Linked DNA regions of Xenopus tropicalis. The protein of the gene in region 4 interacts with the protein of the main gene of each other region in a biochemical or structural test. Links are inferred from orthologs where the notes say so. Each region holds a gene or a part of one and is shown on either strand. Other genes may lie near its edges.

The links.
Region 1: of the proteins of dtl (region 4) and chek1, one has a biochemical effect on the other in vitro, tested with the Homo sapiens proteins (2 studies listed by BioGRID). The link is inferred for Xenopus tropicalis from reciprocal best matches to the Homo sapiens genes DTL and CHEK1.
Region 2: the proteins of dtl (region 4) and cul4b form a complex in vitro, tested with the Homo sapiens proteins (2 studies listed by BioGRID). The link is inferred for Xenopus tropicalis from reciprocal best matches to the Homo sapiens genes DTL and CUL4B.
Region 3: of the proteins of dtl (region 4) and cdkn1a, one has a biochemical effect on the other in vitro, tested with the Homo sapiens proteins (3 studies listed by BioGRID, with this or other methods). The link is inferred for Xenopus tropicalis from reciprocal best matches to the Homo sapiens genes DTL and CDKN1A.
Region 5: the proteins of dtl (region 4) and kmt5a form a complex in vitro, tested with the Homo sapiens proteins (2 studies listed by BioGRID, with this or other methods). The link is inferred for Xenopus tropicalis from reciprocal best matches to the Homo sapiens genes DTL and KMT5A.

What each region holds. Positions count from the first base shown.
Region 1 is NC_030683.2:74,045,673-74,049,189, reverse strand, and holds part of chek1 (serine/threonine-protein kinase Chk1), read left to right. Parts: coding exon 1-62; intron 63-3,072; coding exon 3,073-3,174; intron 3,175-3,517. UniProt on the Homo sapiens protein: Serine/threonine-protein kinase which is required for checkpoint-mediated cell cycle arrest and activation of DNA repair in response to the presence of DNA damage or unreplicated DNA.
Region 2 is NC_030684.2:46,091,674-46,095,824, reverse strand, and holds the start of cul4b (cullin-4B), read left to right. Parts: upstream 1-1,349; 5' UTR 1,350-1,541; coding exon 1,542-1,953; intron 1,954-4,151.
Region 3 is NC_030678.2:54,653,593-54,657,109, reverse strand, and holds part of cdkn1a (cyclin-dependent kinase inhibitor 1), read left to right. Parts: intron 1-1,603; coding exon 1,604-1,972; intron 1,973-2,622; coding exon 2,623-2,675; 3' UTR 2,676-3,517. UniProt on the Homo sapiens protein: Plays an important role in controlling cell cycle progression and DNA damage-induced G2 arrest. Involved in p53/TP53 mediated inhibition of cellular proliferation in response to DNA damage.
Region 4 is NC_030681.2:14,739,133-14,742,649, forward strand, and holds part of dtl (denticleless protein homolog), read right to left. Parts: intron 1,794-3,517; coding exon 1,720-1,793; intron 447-1,719; coding exon 343-446; intron 1-342. UniProt on the Homo sapiens protein: Substrate-specific adapter of a DCX (DDB1-CUL4-X-box) E3 ubiquitin-protein ligase complex required for cell cycle control, DNA damage response and translesion DNA synthesis.
Region 5 is NC_030677.2:161,074,437-161,078,617, forward strand, and holds the start of kmt5a (N-lysine methyltransferase KMT5A), read right to left. Parts: upstream 2,807-4,181; 5' UTR 2,663-2,806; coding exon 2,653-2,662; intron 1-2,652. UniProt on the Homo sapiens protein: Protein-lysine N-methyltransferase that monomethylates both histones and non-histone proteins. Specifically monomethylates 'Lys-20' of histone H4 (H4K20me1).

The DNA.
Region 1 (3,517 bases), on a different chromosome or scaffold from region 4:
GCAATTTGATGGACACTTGTGAAAAAATGGGATATGTTTTAAAGAAGTCTTGTGCTAACCAGGTGAGTACCCCCTCAATAAAGCTTCTAATCATATGATTTTAGGCTTACATTTTCCAAAACCCCAGTAAACAAGAAAAAGCATATAAAACAAACAAAAATACTATTTATTGTAAACACAAAAAAACTATAAAAGTAAAAAGTGTACATTAGTTTCTTCTATCCTTGTTTTTAGAAAACAATCTTATTTCCTATGGGTCAAAAATGTACATACACCTTGCAGACTGTTTTTGTCTTGACGATTGAAGGATCAAAGGTGATCTTAATCAATCTCTAAGCTATTACTGTAAAATTTAATTTTTCAATAAAAGTTGATATGTAAAAGCAATAATGATAGGCCAATTCTAGTAGTCTGAAAAGATTTAAAGGTCTTTGAAACTTGCTCTTCAAAAAAGCAGTAAACGAAACGTAAAGGTGTGCTTTTTAATGTTTGAAATTTTTACATTTCTGTTGCCATTTTAACAATGCCTTTTGGCTCTGAGGTATATTTTGGGGTAATAGTTCTTGTACAAGTAATATAGACCCTTAAGATCTTTGGCTTTTCAACACAAGCAGCAATTGTTGAAACTGAAACCTCAGGGTGTTTACATTTTTGGCTGGAGTGAGGCCAGGGAAAATAGTCAGAATAACAATTTAGGTACAGGTATGGGACCTGTTTTCCAGAATGCTCGGGATATGGGGTTTTCCAGATAAGGAATCTTTCTGTAATTTGGATTTCTATAACTTAAATCTGCTAAAAATCATTTATTGAATAAACCCAATAGGATTGTTTTGCCTTCAATAAGGATTAATTATATCTTAGTTGATATCAAGTACATGGTACAGTTTTATTATTACAGAGAAAAAGGAAATCATTTTTAAAAATTAGAATTATTTGCTTATAATGGAGTCTATGGGAGATGAACTTTCTGGATAAATGGTTTCTGGATAAGCGATCCCATAGCTGTAGTATAATTGGTGGAGCTTACTAATTTTCTTTAAATCATAAATGGCAAATTAGGAACATGGCACATTTTTTTATCAGACAGCAGTCACTGGATACTGTCCAGAAATACTATCCAAAAATCAGTACATATAAAGGGGCAGTTTACCTCCTTTTCAGCATCTATGAATAGGGCTTGTGCTGAACATAGTTTCTGCCTATTGTTGTATTCAACACAAAGGTCTATGGGTTTTTTTTTTCTTTTTGTTATTCCTATGAACACCACGGGTTTACTGAACAGTTACCAGATACCAGATGTGTATAGGTTTACCCAAGTATGTGGCATTTAGAGGCCCATAAATGGTGATGAGATGAGAGGCTTGATAAAGGGCTGGATTGAAGCCTGAAATGTTGCTTTTGGCACTGTAAAGTTTCAAATTTTTTCAAAACAACCGGAGTGCTGCTGTTTTCATCATTTTTGTACTTATTTGCCCGGGCAGTGGGTACAGCGTGCACCTGGGGCTACAAAAAGCTATTTTCACTGTGTAAGCGCATGTTAACTGATTCTATTTGCCATATTATCTGTCATGTTACTGCAAAATCAACACATTGACAGCATTTTAAGTGGGGTAAACCTAGAAAAAAGTTCTTTCCTAAACGTCTTGATTTTGATGAACTTTCTAAAAATCACCTCAAAACTTCCAGCATATTATCTCCTACAGGTCATTAGGTACCCTAGAGGTCTACAGAACAGTTTGATGCTCACTGTACATAGGTTTATCAAAGCACATGGCCCTCAGGAACCCCAAAATATACCTTATGCGCACTAATTTCATGACTTCCATTCACCTAATCCATAAACACACTGGCAGTTTTATGTGTGGTACAAACTGCAAAAAAGTAGGGTGACCTCTGAAAGCCATATATTTTAGAAACAGCGCAAATTTTGTAAGGTTAGCGGTTCTGAAAGCATTTTTAAAAATCGCCTAAAAATCTTGCAATTAGCCTCATTTATCTTGCAGTTTTTTTTTACATACAAAGGCAAATCACCCCAAATATGAACACCAGAAGTCTACTGAACAGTTTTATGCCCAATATTCATAGATATACCAAAGTATGTGAAATGTACAAACCCCAAATTAAATATAAAGCATATGACGTTTTCTCGTCTGCCAAATGAAGTTTTCTCGTCTGCCAAAATTAATTTCTGCAAAACGAGCCCCATGACTGCATATTGTATATATGAAAGACCCCCTAACTGTACAGAAGCTTACGGAAAACAATATGTTTTTGGAAAGTACACATTTTGACAGTTTCAACATTGGTGTAAAAAGGCGTCTTTACCAAAGTACCAATCTGTCTAAAAATGTTGCAATATGACGCATTTATCTTACACAGTTTCTTACATACAAAAGCAGTTTACCCCAAATATGAATGCCAGAGGTCTCCAGCTTTGTTATCACATTTGCATACGGAGTATACAAATGAGACAAAATTGCAAATTAAAGGCCCACCCAAAAAGAAACATTACATTTCACATACATACTGTGCAAGTGCAAACACATATTTTGCATATACCTGTACATACACAGAGCAATGAATAAATAATTATGTGCTAGAGAATTAAATCAATTTTCTTTAGTTTACGCTACCTGTTTAACAAACCAACAATTCCTAATTTGATTAGGAAAATAGGAATTGTTGGTTTGGTATATCTATGCATATGGTGCTTCAAAGTATGCATTATGTAGAGACCCCAAAATGAAAAAAATGTATATGAATTTTCTCGCCTGCCAACTCAGCTTTTGCAAACCTGGCTCCCTGACAGCGTATTATGTGCCATAACAGCCCCTAACTGTACAGAGGGTAACTGACAGCAGATGAGAGCATGTGCTGTAAACTGGAAGAAAAGAATATTGGTTGCTTATGCGATAATTTTTTTGTTTAAAGGACTGTTATAATATGTAGTCTAATTGTTTGTTAATACAATTACATTATGAAGTAAGTTAATACAAGCATTATTAGTATACTTGTTTTTCAAGAAAAAAACTGCATCTGTATAATTAGGTACTTTGTTTTTGTCTACTACAGGTCACCCTATCAACTACTGACAGAAGAAATAATAAATTAATATTCAAGGTGAACCTTGTGGAAATGGAAGACAGGATTCTGTTAGATTTTAGACTTTCTAAGGTATATTGAATGCTTTGGGTTTTCTGTTACTGCTACGCTGCCAGCTATCTAAAAGTGTGTTTATAGTCGACCCCTTGTCTGCCTGTGGCTCGCAAGTAACTGACTACCATCACAGTAGATTTCTCTGTTCTGCGACATGCAATTAAAATCTTACACATGCAGTTTTGACTGTGTATTAACTTTCAGTGCAGCCATTGCTGCTAGAATGCACTATGTATTGCAGTCATTGGTTTTTATATTTATGTTCATGTATTAATAACATTGGCCACCTTTAGCAGTAAAGGGGGGTGCCTAACATCTTAACACCCCCAATGATCCTTACTGTTCTTATCCTTTTATAAAA
Region 2 (4,151 bases), on a different chromosome or scaffold from region 4:
AACTCGCCTCATGGCAGCAACGCCCGTGAGTTCTACAAACACCTAGCTTCAACATTATTTGGGTATATATAGTTTATATTTGTAAGTGTATAGATTGGTCTATATAGGTATGTGTATTTTTGTGCACTGGGGTTTTTAGAGATGTTGAACTTGATAGGCTTTGGGCTTTTGTCAACCCAAATTAGTTATTTAGTTATATGTAACATCTCTATTAAGCTTTACCAGATGATTCATAAGTGCTTTATGCAGTGACCAGTGCTTGCATATCTGTTAAAAAAAAAAAACAATTGAATAGGGTCAAGTGCTGAAACTAAGTATGAGCATACACCTTTTGGTGTGCTTAACATGTGTTGTTTTTGCTGGTGTTATAACTTGTATGCAGGCTCACAAGCACATAGAGAACCCAGAATAGCTGCTTTATAAAAAAAAAACACATTCAGCCATTGCTTTCAGTCAGAATCTGGTATACAGCTGCGTAATCCAATGGGAAGCCTTACTCTCCCAGAGATTATTATATCACCCAAATTGACCACTTTGTATGATATAAGTTTATTTTAATCTGGCACTTAAATGAATAGTGGGGTTAATATATGTACTTTTCATCCCTGCTATACACGCCATTATACATTGCTTTCAGACACAAACTTCATGTTTGACGCTTACTGAGTAGTAGTACTGAGTAGTTACTGAGGAGCTTCCACAAGGAACTCATTTTAAGCGGGAAGCGTCACACGCAACTACTGGCGCTCTCCTTTATGTAACTATTCTAAGCCTCTCCGGCCCCCACGCTGCTGAACAGGCGGTACCATGTGGAGGCATCAGGGGGAAATGTCACCCAAACCAAGCTGATTATTGGTCCTTATTCCCTTTAGGCGTCACTACAGAGGCGGGAATATTCAACCCTCGACTCCTCCCCCTCGAGTAGTTTCCAGCCTCAGCCCCTTCCTTCCCCTTGTCGGGACTCCTCGCCGGCACCAACCTAAGGCGGAAGCTCGGCGAGGAGAAAGGGGACGGATGAGGCCCGCACGGTCGGGCATTATGAAAGACCTCATCGCTAGTCCTTCCGGTCAGTCAAAACAAGGTACGAAGGTTGCCATGACATCACAGTAGAATAAAAAGGGGAGGGGAGAGAGGGAACACAGCCAGCCTTTCGCGCTATAGTTAATGCAGTAAGCGCTACCCCTTTGGTTTTGATAGTTTGGCAGCAGCTGGCGTCAAAGGCTCCCTGACTGTCCCGGCTGGGAAGGGGTGTGGGCTCACGGCAGCCTCCTGGGGAACTCTTCCCAACATGCACTGCGAGAGGAAGTGAGGCCATCTTTGGTTCCCTGCTCTTGTGACAATAAACAAGAAAAAGAGTGGGGATATCCGGAGAGCGGGGCCGGGGCCTTCACCGAGCAGAACTAAAGCAGAGTGCCTGCCGAGGGGGCCACTGGGAAGCGCTAACCAAAGGGCCACGTTAGCTGTTTGTTGCGGTCCCCACACGATCCAGCGGTCACACACAGTCTGGGCTGCCTTGAATCTTTTCTATTTGTGGTGTTTTCATGTTTCCCACAGGCTTATCAACCCCCAACCCCCCGGCGCAGGAGGTAAGGACTGAGGGAAACAGCACCTCCAAAAAGAGAAGGTTGAATATCAGCAGCAGCGATAAGGACGATTTGGACCCCCTGTCGCCCCCCAGAAACTCCTCTTCCTCCTCTAACCACATCCAAAAGAAGCTGCGTTTTGAAGACACTTTGGACTTTCTAGGACTCGATGTGAAGATGGCCGAGGAGTCTCCTTCTTCTTCCTGCTCATCCTCCTCTACTCCCCAGGCAGTGAGGAGTAAAAACCTGCTCATCTCCCCAGTGGGCGTTGGGCATCATGCCAATGGCCTCACAAAAGCCTCACCCGTGTCCAGTTTTGCCAACAGCAAGCCTGGCTCAGCCAAGAAGTTAGTCATCAAGAACTTTAAAGGTAAAGAGGGATGGCACCATTCAATCAGCTCTTTGATAGGTCACTTCAGGGAGTGTAATACTTTGACCAGAATGTGCTTAAGGACCAGGTGATTACAAGGGTGCTCTGGTCAAAATAAAATCTCCTTTAATTTGGAATTCAGAAACTAGCATGCTGTCTTGTGTCACCCAGTAGTTTGGGGCAAACGTTTGCCTGTTTGGTTTTTTCATGATGGTAAAATTACAGTTTCCTTTTGGCGTTATTTTATTATGGTTGAATCTATCTGGAATGGCAGTTTTGACTTCTAAGGGCTTGTGTATTGATGCACTCCTAACCAGCATAAAGCCAAAGTGTTTTAAGCTGGTAATGCTTGATTCTTTCTATAGGGATCCGCAATATTTTGGAGCACTTAGGGGATTTGATGCTTGTTACAAGCATTCCTGTTTGACCCAACCAGATCTGTGTGTCAATACTAAGAGCGCTACAGTTAAGGGATATCTTCAATGCAAAGGCAATCTTTTCTATTAAAAAAAAAATCTTTGTCACAACCGATCTAAGCTGCAGTGTCAATATTCCTGTGGGACTCATTGGCCAAAGCCATTTTTTTTTTTTTTTTTAGTATCTCATGGGACCAGTGCCAAAACACTGAAAATCTTTCTTCAATGTCCACTTCCAGAATAATTTGAAAGTGAACACTGTTTATTTTAGGCATTTGTCTACACACAACACACAAATCATGCTGGTGTTAGTGAAGCAACATTCAGGACTAAACTACACGGGAGCTTTTGTAGGATGGTTTCAGATCAACAGAAAGCATCCTTGCCCTTAGGGCTCTGGCACACGGGGAGATTAGTCGCCCGCGACTAATCTCCCTGAAATGCCATCCCACCTGTGTCTCGGGCATACGGGGTGGCGCGATTTCAATGAAATCGCGCAGGTTTCCTCTCGAGGCAACTTGCGCAATTTCACTGAAATCACGCCGCCAGCGATTTACATTTTCGCAGGTGGGATGGCAATCTGGGGAGATTAGTCGACCGCGAACAGGGAGTTTTGTTGTGGGCGACTAATTTCCCCATGTGCCAGAGCCCTTAGACAATCTGCTAAATAACTGTTAAGGTGATAACTGCAACACTTTACACAGATTTGTGAGGCTATTCACCATTTACTAACATGGCTAATCAGAATCAGGTCAGGCTGGTTCATTTTGGGCCCACACAGAAGTGTGTTTGTTGACATTTGCAAACAGATTGTTTAGTGGTATCAATGTGGCTTCTGGCCCTGATCTCTTTAGGGCTCTGGCACATGGGGAGATTAGTTGCCCGCGACAAATCTCCCTGTTCGCGGGCGACTAATTTCCCCGAAATGCCATCCCACCGGCGAAAATGTAAATCGGGATGGCGCGATTTCAGTGAAATCACGGATGTTTCCTCAAGGCAATTTCCGCGATTTCACTGAAATTGCCCTGCCGCATATGCCATCCCACTGGCGATTTACATTTTCGGGGAGATTAGTCGCCCGCGAACAGGGAGATTTGTCGCGGGCGACTAATCTCCCCGTGTGCCAGAGGCCTTAGTGCAAAGTGGGGGAATTTAATAATTTCTAAGAAATTTCTATCAGTTATTGGTGCATGAGCATTATGCAAACTGCAATGCATGTGCACCAGTTGCTAAGTGGGGGGGGGGTAAACTAGGCTGGTGCCTAGGATGGCACATGACCAATATACAGCCCTGGGTATGCCCATAATAAATTTATATATAAAGGTTTAGCTGATGCAGCTAAAATAAGGTAGAAACTCAGGAAATTGTGCTGTTAGTTTGCCTTTAAAAAGTAGTAATTGTATGTAAAAAAAAAAAATTACTCTGTTTTGGCAAAAGACCTTACCAGCCTCTTCATTTTTTTGTACAACTGGTATTAAGTGCTTGTGATTTTTTCTGATATACTAATAGTACAACTAATCCTATATCAAACAGACACAATGCACACCTAAATTGTAGTACTGTTTCATATACAGGCTTGAAGTAGAAATGAAGGAATTCTCGGCAAAAGAACTTGTCTGCTCATACAGTATAAAGGAGCATTGCCACATTTATTGGTAAACGGTGATACAAAGAGCAACAATACACTGTTTACTGTTTACAAAGGAGTATTATGTATGTCTATGTATTTGCAGTGGCAAACCTCTGCAGCACCAAGGGATACTTGCGTTTTTTTTTCTGGCT
Region 3 (3,517 bases), on a different chromosome or scaffold from region 4:
TCCAAAATCCGTCTTATATCTTAAATGAATTGCTCTCTATAGTAATATATAGGGCCAAATTCCAATCAACAAGAATATATGGACGAGATTAAATTTGAGGCTAGAAACATTGGGCCCGATTCACTAAAGTCCGAAATAAGGAGTGCTATATATAGCATGCGTTAAAAATCTTATCACTTCTTATTTTTCGCTCGATTCACTAAAAGGACACTTGTCATAATTAAGAAGCGATGTTCTTGGCGTTATTTATCTTGCGACGACATATTTTCAAGCAATATATTACGCAGCGCACAACATATTACGCAGCGTGCGATATTTTACGCAGAGCGCAATATATTACCCACGTAACCATTACTTTCTGAAGACTACCGTTCTGAAAATTTTGCGCTCTGCGTAAAATATAGCGTGCTGCGTAATATGTTGTGCGCTGCGTAATATATTGCTTGAAAATATGTTGTCGCAAGATAAATAACGCCAAGAACATCGCTTCTTAATTATGACAAGTGTCCTTTTAGTGAATCGAGCGAAAAATAAGAAGTGATAAGATTTTTAACGCATGCTATAAATAGCACTCCTTATTTCGGACTTTAGTGAATCGGGCCCATTTTCTCCTAATTCAGTTTTCATGTAATAAACAGTGCAATACATTTTTCTTATTGAATTGCATCTGAAATTGATTTAGGAGATAAGCTTTTCTCATAAATGTGAATCTGACCCATCATTCTTTATGCATCAGGGAAAAATCTCTGTTCCACAAGAAATAATAAATAACTTACAATTTTTCCATTTATGTGTGTTGTTGTCATTATCAGACCTGCTCCTGAAGCCTTTATTCAATATGGCGTTTATCAAGTAGGGCTATTCAGTAACACTATTCTTTCATTAATGCTATATAATAGTGTACAGTGTTCACAGTTCTCAGTTATTTGGCTAATGAGTACCTTAATTACAAATAAGGCTAAATGTAAATGATGGAAAACTTGTATAATTTTGCCTCTACAATGCAAAAGTATTTACCTCTTATCGGTGTTGTGGCTGCCACTAAGCACACGTGATGCAAGAATACCAATGCAAAACTTGTACCTCTTACCATAGGGATTCAAGTTGCAGTTGCATCATTATGGGCATCACACTGACAGGGCATGTTGTTTATCTTACACTCCTTCTGACTTCAAATGCCCAGAATAGGGTGTGGCCATGTATTTTATGACTGAATAATGATAATGCGTAGAACTAGGACACCAATGGCCCACCAGAGAACATGATATAGCGGGCCCACCATTCAGAGCCCTTAAACATTTTCTTCATTTTCTTCTGGTATCCCCATGTTTGAGAGGTTTATTGTTAAAATGTAACTGATTAAAAGCCAAGAATATTGCAGCACAGCAACCAATGTGGCAGCTTCCAATACGATAGATTTAGGAATAATTCTATGTGGTTTCTGTGCACTTGTGTGTGTTTTATTAGTTGCATTATTGCTGCACAAGCTGGCTAAGCGCTAAGAGCAATACAGTATATACAGACAGACTGATTGATGTTGACTGAAGGGAACAATATTTACTGTATTTTTAATGTTGCAACAATTGTTTTTCTGCCCTTTCAGAGAAAATGCAGTCAGCCATAGCCATCCTCAAGCAAGCATCTGGAAATAAGGAAAAGGCTTGTCGAATGCTTTTTGAAGCTGTGGACCATGAACAGCTAAAAACTGAATTTCATGAACTTATGCAGAGATCCAACGAGGAAGCAAAAGCTAAATGGAACTTTGACTTTGTCACTGAAACTCCTCTTGAAGGGCAATATGATTGGGAGAAGGTAGAAGACAAAACCTTGAATTGCAATTCGCAGGAAAGTGAAAAAGAAAACCAGTGCCAAGATGTAGCCGCAGAGATGTGTAACATTAACCAATCCCATAAAGCTTCCCAGAATTGTGAAAGCAGCGATTCAGGCAAAAGGAAACAAAAGCTGATCACAGGTAATTGTAACAGTTCCACATAGCAGTTAGAATATAAATATTATCAGAGAGTATGCTCTGTAGCAGTGATCTCAAACCAGTAGCTCACAAGCATGTTAACCAACCCCTTTTATATTGCTCCCAGTGGTCTCAAACAGGTGCTCATTTTTGAATTTCTAACTTAGAAGAGAGACTTCTGACTTTTTCCATCTTCCAGTTTAAAACACTATTGGGGTTATATGATAAAAGACCCATAGCAACCAATTAGCAGGTAGAATTAACTGGTTACCTATTTAAAAGAAAACATATTGGTTGCTTGGGGTAACTGCTACTGGGCAAACTTAGCACATTTTATTACACATGGCGGCATGTGTACTGCCAAACAGAGCCTGTAGCTTGCCAGTCCACATTGGGCTACCAAATAACCTACCACATCCCTACTTTTTTATATTTAAATGCTGCTCACAGGTAAAAAAAGGTTAGGGGCCCCTGCTTTATAGGATATACACTCATTGCATCATTAGTGCTGCTCCAATGTATATGCTGCATTCTTTCATTAACTGGTTTTTGCATGACTTGACATCAAGTATTGCAAGTATTCTTAGCACCCATTATTATACTTAGCAACCATTATTAATATTTAATCTCTGCTTCTGTTTTTGCCTTAACAGATTTTTATCCTGTCAAGCGGAGATGTTCACCTAAACCCAGCCCCCGCGATTGATCACTATGCTGTTTGTGAGGTCCTTTCTTTGGACCTGAACAAATTTTCATTTCTCAGTTTAAGGTGTCAGAACGCTGGATTTTCATGCTCTTATACAAAACCTGGACTTTAATGGACATTACATAGACTCCAGAGAACTTCAAAATCCTCACAGATTGTACCTCACTATTACTTTAATAATTTAAACAACCGGAAGAAGAGATAAGCATTAGCTTTAGTGGTGTATGTTTGCTGAGTTTCTAGTTGTTGCAAAATACTTTTTTTGTAATTCTAAATAGTAAAACACTGCGGTTTTATAGATATATGTATATAAATGATACTAAGTTAATGAAAATGGCTAATATTTAGAAGTTTGCAACAGATTTTGACAAGATTCAGAGCAATATTCAGTAATGCACTAAAATGTTAGTCCATGTGTGCAGGCCACTTTGCTTTAGCACTCAGCATCATACCTTGGGGCTTTTTAAAGGGGACCATACACTGGATAATACTCTTCAGTATCCTACCAATCAGCCCTCTGGCTGAATTGGCGGCTACCATATGAGTGGCCATTTACATGTATGGCTGCCATACTAGTGTTCCATTTGTTTAATTAAACAATTGAAATAGCAGGAAGTGAAGAGGAGCTACAAATTTTCTTTACTCCTTCATCTATTGATGCATATTGCATCAGCAGATGAACAGATCAATATGTCAGAATAATATATCTGGGCATGTAAAGCCAGCTTAACTGTGCTAACACTGATATCTTTAAAATACTACCACCTGGAGGGTGGGTGGACATCATTTTCACGTCCAGTTGTTAAATGTTTTTCTTGCACTTACAGAGTTATTGTTTATTA
Region 4 (3,517 bases):
TATCGATCGGGCAGGTTAAAAAATCTAGTCGGATCGGGGACCAAATCGCCCAAATGATCGAATTAGCCTGGATTCTCCCGATATCGCCCACCCGTAGGTGGGGGATATCGGGACAAGATCCGCTCGTTTGGCAACATCACCAAGCGAGTGGATCTGAAGGTGTATGGGGACCTTTAGAGTGCTGAAAGGGTGGGTTAAAGAAGATTAACTTTGCTTATTTTAGTAAGTTCACATTTTAACGGATTTTATTTAGAAAGTTTCTTATGATCAGATGAAGCTCATATTACAGGTTTGTCATCATTCCCCATTTTAAGTAAAACAAAGAAGCCAAAGCTTGCATACCAAGTTTGCGGGTGCTATTTCCTGGATAAGGAAAGAGTTTCGCTGGCACAGGATCCTGCCGATACGCACTGTAGTTTTTCCTCAAGTCCCAAACCTTGACAATACTAAAAATAAGCAAAAGGGGATATAGCTGAAGCAGTTAAACCATGAGCAGCTGTACTTTACTGCGCATTCTCTTCTTGGGCTAAAAACCAGCGAGCAGCCACGCGCCTGAACTGAAACCTTACATGTTGTGCGATTGGGCGCCACATTCTACTGCAGAGCCAACACTACAAGCAACACTAATGCAAATAAATCTGCAGAAAATGATCAAGTGTGAGCAGTATGGCAGTTTTGTTTCCAGTGCTTCATTTAAACAAAGGGCTGGCTCACCTGTACATTTTTATTATGTTATAGAATGGCCAGCTCTAAGCAACTTTTCATTTGGTCTTTATAGTTTATTTGCCTTCTTCTGACTTTCCAGCTTTCAAATGGGGGTCACTGACCCAAGTAGCCATTTTTTTGTATCTGTTAAATTATATTCCTGACCTTTCTATTCAGGAACTCCCCTACTCAAATACCAGCCTTACATTTACACCAATGCCTGGTTGCTAGGGTAATCTTAACCCAAGCAACCAGATAGCTGCTGAAATACCAAACCAGAGAGTTGCTTGACAAAAAGCCAAATTCATAAACTACAAATAAATGAAAATTGCAAATAGTCTCAGAATATCACTTTCTACATTACACTAAGGGGCAGATTTACTAATGCACGAGCGGACCGAAAGCGTCCACGCGTTTTTCGTAATGATCTGTATTTTTGCGACTTTTTCGTTGCCGTCACAACTTTTTCGCATGTCCCGCGATTTTTTCATCGCTGTTCCGACTTTATCATATATTTTCCGCGACTTTTTCGTCGCCATCGTGAAAAAATCGGATTGGTTTTTCTGCCGTTTACAATTGCTCAATACGAAAAAATTGCGACAGCGACAAAAAAGTAGTGCAAAATACGATAAAGTCGTGATGGCCACGAAAAAATTGTGCAAAATACGAAAAAACGAGACGGCGAAGAAAAAGTTGCAAAATTTTTGTTTACAATCCGATTTTTTCCCATTCGGATTCGTGGATTAGTAAATGTGCCCCTATGTGTTATCAATGTTACCTGGAAAGGTAACCATTTTAAACATGATTTTAGTAATATAACAAACTTGAATTGAATGTAGCAAACAAATGCCGCACAACTGTGAAACTGAGATATAACAACCAATAAAGCTTGCTCATGGGTTTAAGCTGTTGAGCCAAATGGGGTTTTGCACAGAAGGAGATCTGAGATGTGCCCTAGTTCATCTCAAAGCAACAGGCACGAATAGCATTTAAAGAGCAGTAAGAACTACTTACCCATCCACTGCTCCTGCCGAGATAATGGTGTGCTCATCTTGAAAGATTACCACAGTCACACTCTGCTGGGAATCCTAAAATAGAAGCAAAGATTTGTAAGATGACAAGAAAATAAACTAACGCTCGTGACACATACAGGGGGGGACAAGTCCCACATCAATAACAGGAAAACCTAGTTTGTCAAGAGACTCAACTAAAATGGGTCACTCTAGACAAGGCCTCAACAGTCAGGAAAAAGAATTCAAGCAATGCTGAGTGATTAGTTCATAATCTAGTGATATTTCAGCATTTGTTATTTTTTTTTTTTCAAAGGTTTTTATTTATGCATTTGTAACATAAAACAACATTAAACAATGACATTGGTTCTACAAGCGAATTCTGTTCATGTCAGGATATATACAGTACATTGACTTATATAATCAGTAACAACCTACTCAAGGTAATGTTAAGGCTTCCGTCAGAGAGGGTGAAGTGGACTCTGGGGTTCTCAGTGGGATTCGGATTCTTTGGGACAAGATTATGTGATGCTATTCCATAGCCTCGACCCATCCTCCCCATACTTTGTCATATTTTTGGGGGCATCCCCTTGCTGTGTAAGTGAGTTGTATCAGTGGCAGAAGGGCTTTAAGTAAATTGAGCCAAGTAGGGATTGTCGGGGGAGAGTGTGCCATCCATTGCAAGAGGATACATTTCCTGGCATAAAACAATAATGTTCTAAAGAGGATGCGTGATGCTGATTTAGGAATGATATCATCTATAATGCCAAGTAAACAAATCTTGGGATCGAGTATTTTAGGTAAAGATGTTGCATTTTGGATGTGGTCAAGGACCTGGTCCCAAAAGTAGTGTATTTGTGGGCATAACCACATTAGGTGAAAATAGTCGGCTTCAGGGGCACCACATTTAGGGCACTGAGACGAATCACAAATTCCCATTCGATATAACCGTAAGGGGGTCAGATGGAGTTTATGAATGATTTTGCATTGGATTAGTTTGTCTCTTGTAGAGATCAAGTAGTCATAGGCCCTGTCTGTCGCTTCCTCCCAGTCTTCGTTGTGCAGCTCCGGTATGTCTTGGCACCAAGCTTTTTGGGCTGTGAGAAAGGGCGATTGGAGCGTAGAGAGGAGCAGAGAGTATACTGTGGTGATCAGCTTTTTGGGGGAGGGGTTTCGAAGGGTGGTTTCAAGCTTAGTAAGCACAAAGGGGACTATGGTTCTTTGGAATTGGTGTCGGAAGGCCTGTTGGAGTTGTAAGTATGAGAACCAGGGTAATAGGTCTCCAGTATCTATGTGTTTGATCTGGCTCCTAGGTAGCAGGGCCCCAGCATTGGTCACATCTCCCAGTGTACGTATGCCCCAGTGTGGCCACACCCGGTATGGGGCAATTTGTTGGAAGTTGGGTAAGTAGTAGTTTCCCCACAATGGCAGGCCCGGTGATAGGATTGGACGTTTCAATTTGTATAATTGTAGTATCTTTTGCCATGCTTTGTAGGGTGTCACAATGACTGGGTGGTTGGTTTGGATATCTAATGGTTTACGAAATGGGATATACTTCAGAGACTCCATTGAGCTAGCTAAGGTTGCCTGGAGTGGAACATTGGGGTTAGTGAGATCTGGGGAGAACCACCATTGGACGTAATAGACCTGTGCTGCTAGGAAGTAAAATTGCCAATGTGGGAGACCTAGACCGCCTTCCGTGATTGGTGCTCTAAGTTTGGCTCTGGAGAATCTGGGAGGTTTGTTGGCCCACAGAAAGGCAGTCTGTGCTTTATCTTGAGAGGCAAAAAATTTGGGTGGAA
Region 5 (4,181 bases), on a different chromosome or scaffold from region 4:
TGCTAATGGCAACCGTACGCAGAACGTGTATGTGGACCAGCCCTACTCTGTGCCAACCCAGCACTGTCCGTTCCGCCATACGTCACCTTACCCAGCGAGGCAGGGGGACTCCGAGACGGAAAGAACCCGGGCAGGGCTGCAAGCACACTCATTCTGCCGGCTAAAGGCCCACGGTCACATTATAGTTGAATAAATAAACCCACCATATTCCACCACAAATTCACAGCCATTGTTTAATATTTGTACAAATCCCAGTACTTTTTGCAAAAGTTGGTTGTCACTTTAAAAGAGGCCACAGGGGTGTAAGCAGACCCTGTGCATGCAGGGGGGGGGGGGGGGGGGGGTAGGAGTGTAGGGGAACCAGTAAGGCACTAGATAATGAGCAGTTTAAATATATATTGATAGAACTTGTTAATTTACCAATGTTTTGGGCCCTAAAAAAATGAGTTTGCTGTGGGGCTCAGTAACCTCTAGTTCCACCACTGGGAGGCCATGAGCAGTCTGATCAGGTATGCTCTCCCAACAGACATACAAGAGGCCATATGTGGTGTGGCTGACTTATTATTGTGATTGTTAGGGTAAATAGTTCTAATGTTCACAACAGCAAGAACCCAAAAGCAGCTACTTCTGCCAATGTACCATGCACTGGCTGCTATACACATACCAATAATCACATTGCATGAAATCTTTGCTTTGTATGATAATATTGGTACATATATGGCCGACTTGATTGATCATTAATGGTACTGGCACATGGGGAATTTAGTCTGCACTATTCATTTTTACTACCACATGAAACTACTCTCCACAGAACACAGGACTTTGGAGGCAACTTCAGAAAAACAAAGGCACATTGGGGTTTAGAATTATGGGGATTCAGTATTTGGCCAAATTATTTAAAAAAAAAAAAAAGGTTTGGTGCATCCTTAGATTAGAGTATTCTAATGAAGATTAAGCACAGTTGAGGTGTGAACCAAGAGCAAATGGCCAAACAGATCAGCAGCTGAATATATATTTGCGTTAGTGGAGACTGACAGATATAAGGGACTGGGCAAATGGGTTTTGCCAACACAATTACATAGTTATTTTTCAGTGTTTTACTGGTATTCGGCTGTTGTTGTTTAGGAACTACATTATCCTAAAAGGTTTATATTCACATTAAAATATTAACAGTATATAATTATTTTTAGATCAAGTTATTAATTTCTATAGTGAAGTAATGGAGATTTTGATGCCATAACAAAATCATAGTTTTAGACAATCATTTTTTTCCATCCATGGACAAAGCATAATTATTTGTGAGGCCATGGTGTTCTATTTCACCTCCTGATACAAAGACAATAGGCTAAAGTCACACACAGTTGTTTATCTGCCTCCAGCTAATACAGCTGATTCACTACCATCATCTACAGCTGAACTGACAGGCATGGTTTTAGACTGTGCGTAAACACATGCAAGAGAATGCATTTCTACACCAAAATCCACTCCATGTGTCAGCAAAGAGGCCAATGATGTGCCTATCTACATCACGGAGTGGATCATTAGTTTCTCTGCCTATGTTTCCAAGCAGGCAGAGAAACAGACAGGTGTGGCATTAGCCTTATAGGGGACTATATTATCATACAAATGGGTCTATTGGGAGCCATCCCCCTGTGGACAGAAGGGTGGGGAAGCCAAGGGTTAAGATCAAATTAAATGGTCATCAACTCCAAAGGACAACATTTTACCTAATAAAAAGAAAACGTAGCTTTCCAATATTTATTCATAAAAAGGGTCACTTATTTGTAACTGCAATTAAAAGCATCTGTTTGCCCATTGAACCTAATGGTTCCGACTTTTGAAACAAATGAGCAGCAGCCAGCAGATTAAAGGAACAGTAACATCAAAAAATTAAAGTGTTTTAAAGCAATTAAAATATAATGTGCTGTTGCTCTGCAAAAAATTGTGTTTTTGCTACAGAAAAGCTACTATATAAATAAGCTGCTGTGTAGCCATGGGGGCAGCCATTCAAGCTGGAAAAAAGGAGAAAAGGCTGTTATCTGCTAAGTAATCTGTGCCTTTTCTCCTTTGAATGGCTGCCCCCATGGCTACACAGCAGCTAACTTATATAAACTATAGTAGTCTTTCGGAGGCAAACACACCAGTTGTAGCAATGCAGGGCAACAGTACATTACTTTTATGCACTTTCATTTTTTGGTGTTACTGTTCCTTTAACAGACTTGTTTCGGTGGAAGAGAAGTGACCTTTCTAGGTTTTCATGTAGCAGTGAATAGCAGTGACATGATCAGAAGCTACCGGGATCCATAGCAGTCATGTAAGGGTTCTCCAAAAGTTTAGGATGATATTTTCAGTGCCTTCTGCCTCCTACCCCCTGCTGCAGGGCAGAATATTAGTGTGCCCCCACTAGTTGCTTTCCTTGCACTAAAACGCCTTACTTTTCCGGCTGTTGGGTTGAACACATAGTCGCACCTACAGACCGGCTACCTACACAAACTATTAAGACATTGCGGAGCATTGATTCCCGATAGCGAACCAAATATCTTCTTAGTATGACCCAAGATTACTAACGATGCACATGCAATCTAGCCATGTTTGTTTCACTACTAACTACATACTACTAAACGTTTCATTAATTAAAATACACAAATGTACCTCTTCCCATGATGCCTTGGTGTTCGATTATCCCTGCTCGCCTCGAAATCCAACAGTATAAATAGCAAAACGCAGAAGGAATATGTAGTATGCACGCCACTGCATTAGGTTTAAAGCCCCACGAAACACATTTTAAGAAAGAAGCTTAAACCCGCACGTATCCGCCCATCTCTTCCACAATTGGCTTACATTGCTGTCCATCGAAACAACCCTTTTATGGCATTGGTGTAACACCAAGCGTATTGCAACGCCCAACACAATGGCCACGACCCTCTAGTTTCGCGTGTGCTTTTTTGAAAATTGTATTACCCTGTGTCTGATTGGACCCGGTGGGAACGATGTTGCAATCTCATTGGTCAGTATGACTGTGCAGGAGTTCTGGGTGTAAACTGAATGGCATTTGGTAATGTTCGGAGTTTTTCAGGTGTGCAGAACAGAGGAGAACAATAATTACAATTTTGCGTGCGTATGTTGTGTTTATCAGACAGTATTTGGGGCTTCCATCCCAAGGACTGTCTATAAAGTTACAACGCCTTGGGGGCATTTAAAAAGGTGCACGATAACGCTGCAGCGATAAATACGGTGAGCAGCGCAAAAGACGATCTGTAGACTGCGTAGTAGCCTACAAAATCTGATCTCCATTAATTGTAACTTAAAGTCGGATCAGATAAAGTTGGTCTGTGTGTTTTGTTCCTGCATTCAGTGTTTCCTTCCGATAGGCGTGTAGCGTTCCATTGTAATCCTTTCATGTACTTACCCATCAGTTTTTTGTTTTAGTTCCAATATATACAGTATTTTAACCCATGCAACTACATCAGACCTAGGAGTAGGATGCGTTTTGACAATCGGACACCATCCTACAAACTTTCCATGGAGTTTATAACTATTTACAATTGGTTTTGATTGTTATGTTTTTAAAGGTTTGTGAATGATTAAGCTTTCTGTTCAGTAGCTCTCCAGTTTGAAATTTAAACAGTTGTGTGTTTGTTAGGTTTACCCTAGCAATCAAGCAGTGGTTTCAGTGAGAGACTGGAAGATAAATAGGACGGACAGGGCCTCAATAGAATGAGAAGCAACAAAAAATAACAATACAATTCTAGCCTAACAGAGCAATAGTTATTTGGCTGCTGGGGTCAGTGACCTCCATGGGAGAGCTGAAAAGAGGCAGAATAAAAAGAAAAATAAGACCAACTGAAAAGGTGTAAAAAATAAAATATTCTATAACATGCTTAAAACAAATAACCCCTTTAAGAATTCTTAGAAAATAATGTGTTGTGCTTTATTGATACTAGCATTCCATGTGTGTTCTAGCCCTAACCTGACATAGTTACCAGCAGCCATAATAGTGACACTAGATTCTTATGATTGTTTTTAGTACATATAATTTGTTTCAGACCTTCTATTGATTTTCCAGTCTGTCATTCAAACCATTTGCCTGGTTGTGAGGGTGAGTGGGACCAGAGAATAGTTACAGTTTAAATCTGAATATCTGCATTGGCCTTTAAAAAAAGGTTAACTGCTGCATATCC